2 linked regions of the Xenopus tropicalis genome follow. The protein of the gene in region 1 purifies or fractionates together with the protein of each later gene. This does not show direct contact. Links are inferred from orthologs where the notes say so. Each region holds a gene or a part of one and is shown in the gene's direction. Other genes may lie near its edges.

What was found. The genes of interacting proteins can lie anywhere in the genome.
Region 2: the proteins of rad23b (region 1) and psmb7 fractionate together in Homo sapiens (co-fractionation; 3 studies listed by BioGRID, with this or other methods). This does not show direct contact. The link is inferred for Xenopus tropicalis from reciprocal best matches to the Homo sapiens genes RAD23B and PSMB7.

Annotation. Positions count from the first base shown.
Region 1 is NC_030677.2:120,684,365-120,688,756, forward strand, and holds the start of rad23b (UV excision repair protein RAD23 homolog B), read left to right. Parts: upstream 1-1,549; 5' UTR 1,550-1,822; coding exon 1,823-1,888; intron 1,889-4,392. UniProt on the Homo sapiens protein: Multiubiquitin chain receptor involved in modulation of proteasomal degradation. Binds to polyubiquitin chains.
Region 2 is NC_030684.2:29,140,198-29,143,853, forward strand, and holds part of psmb7 (proteasome subunit beta type-7), read left to right. Parts: intron 1-3,243; coding exon 3,244-3,359; intron 3,360-3,656. UniProt on the Homo sapiens protein: Component of the 20S core proteasome complex involved in the proteolytic degradation of most intracellular proteins. This complex plays numerous essential roles within the cell by associating with different regulatory particles.

The DNA of each region.
Region 1 (4,392 bases):
TGCCTTTTCTCTATATTTGTATTTTATATGTAGGAGTTGCTATTTTGTTTTCCTTAGGTAGTACAGTATGAGGGTATAGCACATTTGCATCTGATCCCGCCATTTCAACTATATAAAAGGAGTATTTTTAGAAAAAAATGGGGTGTGTTAATTGGGGCGTGGCCACAAAAGTGGGCATGGTCAAAAAAATTTGCCGCGCTGTGCGTGCCAAATCTTTTTGCCTCTCTTTTCAGTTTTCAAATGTTGGGAGGTATGAGCCTGGCCAAAAGAAAGTCACCATACCGAAGATTGAATGAATTCCGAAAAGGTCGCAGTCTTTCCAAAAAATACGACTTTTTCGTGGAAGTTATTGAAAACCATGAAAAAGTCGTACTATTTTAACAATATTATTGTGGTCATTCTGAAAAGTTCTAAAAATTCGAAGAAATATGAATTTTTCTGAAAAAAAAATTGTGGTTTAATAAATGGTTTAATGTGCTGGTGGGGGGGCTGTTTGGGCCTCTATGTACTTGAAATGAAAGGGTCTATTTTGAATCCCAGTCCAGTCCTGGTGCTGGGTATTATGGGGTCAGCACATTACCTAAATTCCAGTATTACATGAAATAAAACTAGCATCAAGGCATGCTGTGCCGGTTCTATCATATTACAAAAATAAAAATCTAGCACATACCTTTTTATAACATCCTTATTTTGCATCTACAGGTTTAGGAAGCAGATATATCAATTTCTGGTCATGTTTCAGTATTTTACTTTTCATACTTCTCTGTTTGAGTTTGAAATGAAGAGTGGGCGTGTCCTAACGGTCCCTGCCAGAAGTACAGTAGGAGGGGGAGAGCCAATCACAGCCCTGCACTCACACAAGCACAGACAGACTTCAGTTCCCTATCAGGTCAGCCTAGTTGCTGATTGGTTCCTATCCTACAGTGCAGGGTACTGAGGGCCCCAAGGCTCATCCAGAGAATTCAGCCAGCAAGAAGTGGAACAGATGGGCGGGGTTAGTGGGAGTTTTGTGGAATTTCTCAATAAATCAGTCTGAAACACTACTTTTTTAAGCACAATCCTTCTATATCTAGAGGAGTATAATTCCCTGGTACATTCTTCATTTTTATAGGATATGTCTCCTTTAAATTTGCATTCATCTGGAGTTAAATTGAAACACAAAACCAGTTTCTGCTAATACCTCTCTCTGGAGGTAATGACATGTTCTAATTTATGATATATTCTCTTTATTAGTTACCCTTATCAATAACATTGTTTTACCCAGCCCTTGTAACACAAGTCTGGGTGTTTGCGACCTTACGGTAAGTCGCTGCTCCTTCACTGCTGATTCATGCTGTGCACACAGTGTGTGAGTGACATGACACAATTTGCCTAGTAAGCTTAGAGGCCGGAACGAGTTCTACTAATAGAAAAAATCCTGAACGCAGAACGCGCAGTGACATCACCGCACGAAGTGACAGCTCATGGCTGTCATTGAGAGCCGCACGCCCCACCCACTCGGCCGCACCGTAGCCCCGCCCCCTGGCGCAGGCGCGCAAGTTCCTAGTCTCGCGCGTCTCCAGTCAGCGGAGTCACGATGGCGGCGGACAGGCCGTACTAATGAGACAGCGAAATAAGCGCTGGACACTGTACTTCATAGCCGTACATTTAGCGATCGGCGGACTGTAGAAGAGTAACGGGGAGGAGTCTTCTTTACTTCCAACACGGATAAAGCGTCTCCGAGTCGGATATACTGCGTGTCTAGAGAGGGGAGTGCGCCTTCTATCACACTGCAGCAGGCTGAACATCAGGCCGGAGCTGGGGACAGCATACGACAGCAGCCATGCAGATCACTCTGAAGACCCTTCAGCAGCAAACATTTAAGATAGACATCGACGGAGAGGAGACGGTAAAGTCTGCAGCCTCAGGGTTCCACTAAGCATTATGGGGCCTTGCACACAGTATTTGAATGTCGCACAACAGCTGCTCATAAAACGGGGGGGTGGGGTTGTTTTTACACTGGCCAAGAGGGCTTTATCAACGTGCAGGAGCGCTAGAGAAATCTTTGTCTATTTTGGGGTATCCTGCGCGAACTAGTAGTTGGGACGTGGGTAGGGGGCGCGCTAATGTGGGAGCTTTCTCCCTAGCTCGCCTTACAGGCAGATACCGGGCACGTGACCCTGGCTGGGGAAGGGGGGGCGCCACAGTCACGTGGTGCCCGGGGCAAAGCTGCTCTCTGTTGTTTATGGGCGCTGGATGAGTTTGCATTATCGATCTGAGGGATTGCATGTCCTGCGTTCCCAGCTTCCTTTGTGGCTAGAGTAGTCATGTAGTTGGCAGGGGGTCATAAAGCAGTTTATTAATGAATGTGGTGGGAGTAGTATTAGTGCACAACTGGCATTTTATGCAGTAAATAAAGTCAGTGTTGTGCATTTTGGATATTCATATTTTTGAATATCGGCCCTGATCGATTTATAGTGTCTTGTATATAATATACATGTGTGTGTGTGTGTGTATTTATACATTTCAAGGGGATGCACAATGCATATAACATACCACACAATAATGATGTATTCCCATAATGCTGGAAACATGTTGGTAAGTATGCAGACATTAAAGAAGCAAGACATTAAGCCCCTCTCAAATATGTAGCAGGGGTACAGTCATTTTTTTGAGACATGCCAGAAATGGTTGTAACAGAACAAACCTATTTTGCAGGCTCCCTTAAACTCACTACAGACTGTACACATTTGTTGAAATTATTATTTAGGATCCCCAGAGGGTCTCTTGTCACCACCTCTTCCTTTGGAATTAAAGTGACAATGTTTAAGGGATACTGTCAGCACATAATTACCCTCTTTCATGACAATACCATTTTTAACACAAGCTTAATATCATGCACAGTGCTTTCCAAAAACATTTGCCCATCTGCAACAGGTGTTGCATGTCATTGGCCGATAAGCGCTCTTTATTTTTTGGTATAGTGGAGTAGTGGTCCTCAAACTGGGCTGGCCCTCCTTGGGGATCCCAGAGTAATGAATGTGAGGTCCTGCCTGAAGACCAGGTAATGTGGTGAGCATTAGTTTTTACTTTAATAAAGAATACAAAAGTCCAATTAAATGGTATTCGAGTAAGATTTTTGATAAGCATCCTAACTTTTGTGCCTCAAAGGCATACTTGAACCAAAGAAAGTATGAAACTAACTGCATTAGAGGTTTAGATTTTATATATTTATAGTTTATAAGTACAGTGCATCTGTGTACATTGCCTGAAACAAGCCTCCTTATCTGTTACAGTCTCTCTGTTAAATGTAATGTCATATGAATGGTTTTCTCTGTTAATCTATTGATGTACTTGCCAGGAACCAACCAGCCAACAAATTATATATGTATGTGTATATATATATATATATATATATATATATCCAAAAAAGACCAGCAACACCGAGTTATATTCCAAAAACAATCAATTGTGTATTAAAAACACATGAACAGCCAACGTTACGTTTCGGTCCCCATCGGGACCTTTCTCAAGGCCCCGATGGGGACCGAAACGTAACGTTGGCTGTTCATGTGTTTTTAATACACAATTGATTGTTTTTGGAATATAACAACTCGGTGTTGCTGGTCTTTTTTGGATATTTAAATCATTTACCTTGCACCCGAGCTAAGAGCTGAAGCAGAGTGCCACCCTGGGTTCGCTATATATATGTATATATATATATGTATATAAATTTTATTAAAATAAGAAAAAAACAAGAAATATATTCTGCACATGTCTCATTCATTCATAAACAGTTGTGTAGTCATGGGGGCAGCCAGTCAAGTTGAAAAGTAACATTTACACAGCAAGGGGGAAACTGCCACTTTAAATGCCCATTAAACCTTTCCATTCCATGTAGTAATGAAGTAAAATAGATAAGTTTTTGAAAACTGATTTACTTACATTTTGAATAGGTTTTAGTCACCTTTTTTTCACATGCATTTGATAGCTTAGAGTAGCAGTTAAGGTGGCCATATACAGGCCAACAAAAGCTGTCCTTTCAGTCCTTCTGGAATCTACAGCTTTTTGGCCTGATGCCTTTTTGGATGATGCCATCCGAAAGACCTGCCCAACCACTATCTGGCCAAAAAATTTTTGAATCCGCTGATATGCCTGAAGTTTGGCATTGTGGTGAAAGATACACTTATTTGACAACCTCGCCAAACAATCAGATCTTAGCGCGTATGGTCCGCTTTATACTGTATGTCACCTAGGTCTCACAAACACACCCTGGCCTTCTGCAATAAGCCTGGTGCTCAGCCCTTTTGGGAGATGGCACGCCCTCCTAGTCTAGTAGACCACACAACAGGCATTTGCAAACTTGGGCCTAGCCCCAAGTTTTTATTAAGTCAAATTAAGATCCAGCATTTT
Region 2 (3,656 bases), on another chromosome or scaffold:
AGAGATTAAATTCATTGAGGGTTGCCTAACATTTTGGCACCCCCAGGTGACTTAGCCTTTTCTTCTCCTTTAAATTAACTTTTATTATGATGTAGGCATATTCTGAGAAAATTTTCAATTGGTCTAAATTGTTTGATTTGTATAGTTTGTGCATTATTTAGCTGTTTGTTCAGCATTTCTCCAGTTTGAAATTTTAGCAGCTATCTGGTTGCCTTGTCTTATGCACCCTAGCAACCACGCAGTGGATTCAACGAGAGATGGGAATATGAGTAGGAGAGCGCCTGCATAAAAAATATATGTAATAGGAAGTTACAATAACAATAAAACTGTAGCCTCACAAAGAAATAGTTTTTGGCTGCTGGGGTTAGTGAACCCTGTTTGAAAGCTGGCAAGAGGCAGAACAGGAAAGCAAAGGGAATTCAAAATCTATAACATATACACATTGAAGACCAATTGCAACGTTGCTAGGAATTGGGTATTGTATTCTATAATAAAAGTGAAGGTAAAAGTAAATAATCCCTTTAAAGGGGAAAGAAAGGTAAGCTTTATCAAAAAAGGTCTATGTAAATACAGCCATAAGCACTCGCAGAAAAGCTGCACTGAGTTCTCTATCAAAAGAAACACAGGATTTCTTGTCTTTTGTATATACATAGACCTTTCTGATAAAGCTTACTTAGTTTTTATTTTTCTCCTTTACAATATCCCATGGTGTGGGTGATATGATCTGGGAGAGTCATTCATTAGCAGGGAGGTAATAGTGGTTAACAAAAAACGCACGTCCTTAAAGTTCAGTCGTTCCTATCTAGTTTGCATCTGTTACATACACTCTTGATTGAAAGCTTGTATTAAAGAAAACCAATGGCTAGCTTACCTCTTCTAATAGTTTTCAAACCAGATAAAAAAAAAAACTTTGGGGGCAGTTGATTTTAACACTTGAAACCAAATGTTGCATCACACATTACCTAAGTACAGGTATAGGACCTGTTATCCTGAAACTTGTTATGCAGAAAGCTCCAAATAACGGGAAGGCCATCTCCCATAGACTCCATTTGAATCAAATATTTCCAATTTTTTAATATGAAGTCTCTGTAAAACAAGTACATTGGTAATTGATCCCAAATAAGATATAATTTAATCCTTATTTGAAACAAAACAATACTTTTTTAGCAGGCTTAAGCCATGTTGACCAAATAAAGACCTCTTATTCAAGCATTCTGGATAACAGGTCCCACACCTGTACAATTTTTATATAAGCATTTTTCATAGTACCAAGCATATTTACTCAGTGTATTAAAGGTGTAGAAGATGGAAGCCCTGATTATGATTTCCTTAGTCCCCATACTAAGCGTACATTGGATAAAAATGTAGCTCTATGATATTAACGCAGCAAGCCACACATACCATGATGCTTTCATATACATGCTCTTTTCAAAGAGAGGTAACAAATCTTTAATAAACCAGTGCTTAGTGTTCTCTACTTCAACAATATTTGTTTCTGTTACTGTAAATGTGAATGGTGAGCCTTTAAGATTATACTAAAAAAAAAAAATGACAGAGAAATGTAAAAAGGGCACGTATATAACATTCCATAGCACCAAGGTATATTGACCATGGTCTGGGAACCTGTTTTTCCCATCCATAAGGTATATAAACCACAGCCAGGGAGTGTGGTTCTAGACTCCACAGTGGTATACATTCCAGTGTCATGTGTTTCTATAACCCTTGGGCAGATATGTGACAACATTTGGGAGGCGTGGCTTAACACAGACATATATAAACTATAGTCTTGAAAACTTTCTTTAGCAGCAATTGTATTAAAGTACTATGCATAATTTTCTGGGAATCCTATATTTTCCCTAAAAATCGTATGATTCTCTGCTGTCTAAGGAGCCAATAAGAGTAAAAAAAAAAAAAAAAAAAAGTATCATACCCTCGGAATTGGGTCTTAGTACAGGTATGGGACCTGTTATCCAGAATGCTTGGGGCCTGGGGTTTTCCGGATAAAGGGATCTTTCTGTGATTTGGATCTCCATTACTTAAATTGCTAAAAATCATTTAAATATTGAATAAACCCAATAGGATTGTTTTGCCTCCAATAAGGATTAATTACATCTTAGTTGCGATCTAGTACAAGGTACTGTTTAATCATCACAGAGAAAAAGGAAATAATATTTTAAAATTAGAATTATTTGCTTATAATGGAATTCGGAACTTTCTGGATAACTGGTTTCCGGATAAGGGGTCCTATACCTGTGTTGTCATTCTGTATATAAGATACTTGTGCATAGGGTTTAATTACATTACATTAATAGTGTTCAGCTTTTCTCCTACACTAGCTACTAAGGATGATGGGAGTTATAGTTTGATAATAGCTAAAAGACTGCAAGCTGAGCTTGCCACCCCCTTCGCAGTTACATGCGGCAGTAGCTTCCGAAGTGTTCAAAGGGAGCTGAAATGCAAGCCATGCGTATTCTTTTTAGTGACAACCCCTAACATTTCTATTTTCCTGGCGTCTGTCTTATCATCAGCTGTTGTTCCAAAGCTCCACTTTGCTGGAATTTAGTAGCATTGTCTGTATTTGAGATTGAATTGCTTCTCATTGTGTTCATTTGTCTGACAAGGCAAAGTAAGCAGGGGGAAAGGCTCTGCATGGCAGCTCCAGCATGAAATATTTATATGCAGTGTAACAGAGGAGCAGTTTAATTCTGCAAGGAATGTTCAGCCGCTCTAGGCAGGCACCACACATCTCCGCTTGAAACAGATGAGTGTACATCATTTTAAAGATATAAGGAAGGGAGATCAGGGGATTTGCCTCTGGCTTAGTGTCAAATATCCAACTTTCGCAATTCACTTCCTTTGGATACTTTGTTTTTAGTGAGTTTGAAAGAGTGTCAAGCAGAAAAGTGCTTTGTACTATTTAAATTATGAGATTAAGACAAAGCTGCTATCTCGTTTAGTTGAATCCGCTGTTGGGAGATCAACCCTTTTGCTGCCACAAGTGCAAGCTGCACTATACTAAGACATATTCATGTAAGTTTTACAGTGTATAAGGTGTCCACAGTTGGAATAGTTTACAGATGCAAAATATGTAGGTCATAACTGAGGTTGTTTGGGGTTTAAGATTCGTTTTATTCTATTTAGAATATTTCATAGGAAGCGAGCCCACTTTAAAGTCAACAGTAGAATTCAACATAAGAAATGTCTGTTGTTGCAGCATCTGAAAATATTGTATTTTGCTTGTAGGTATCAAGGTTATATTGGTGCTGCGCTGGTACTGGGTGGAGTGGACTGTACTGGGCCCCATCTGTACAGCATTTACCCTCATGGATCCACTGACAAGCTTCCCTACGTTACTATGGGTGAGTAACATTCTTCCCCGCTTTAAAGACAATTCTTTTTATACATATTATATTGCTGGCTTCTATTAGGCATAGGCATAATTGCAAAATTATTGAATTTTTTTTTTTAGACCTTCTTTAGTAGAGAAGGTACACTGATGCCCCCACAACGCTACTTATAAGTTAAATAAGCAAGACAGGCAGCCGATATTTATTATAATGTGACTACTAGGGTCCAAAGATAGTAATCCCGCCAGTCCAATGTTTTACTGAGTGAATTATATTTACTTGATAAATAATCACCCTTTTCACTCTTTC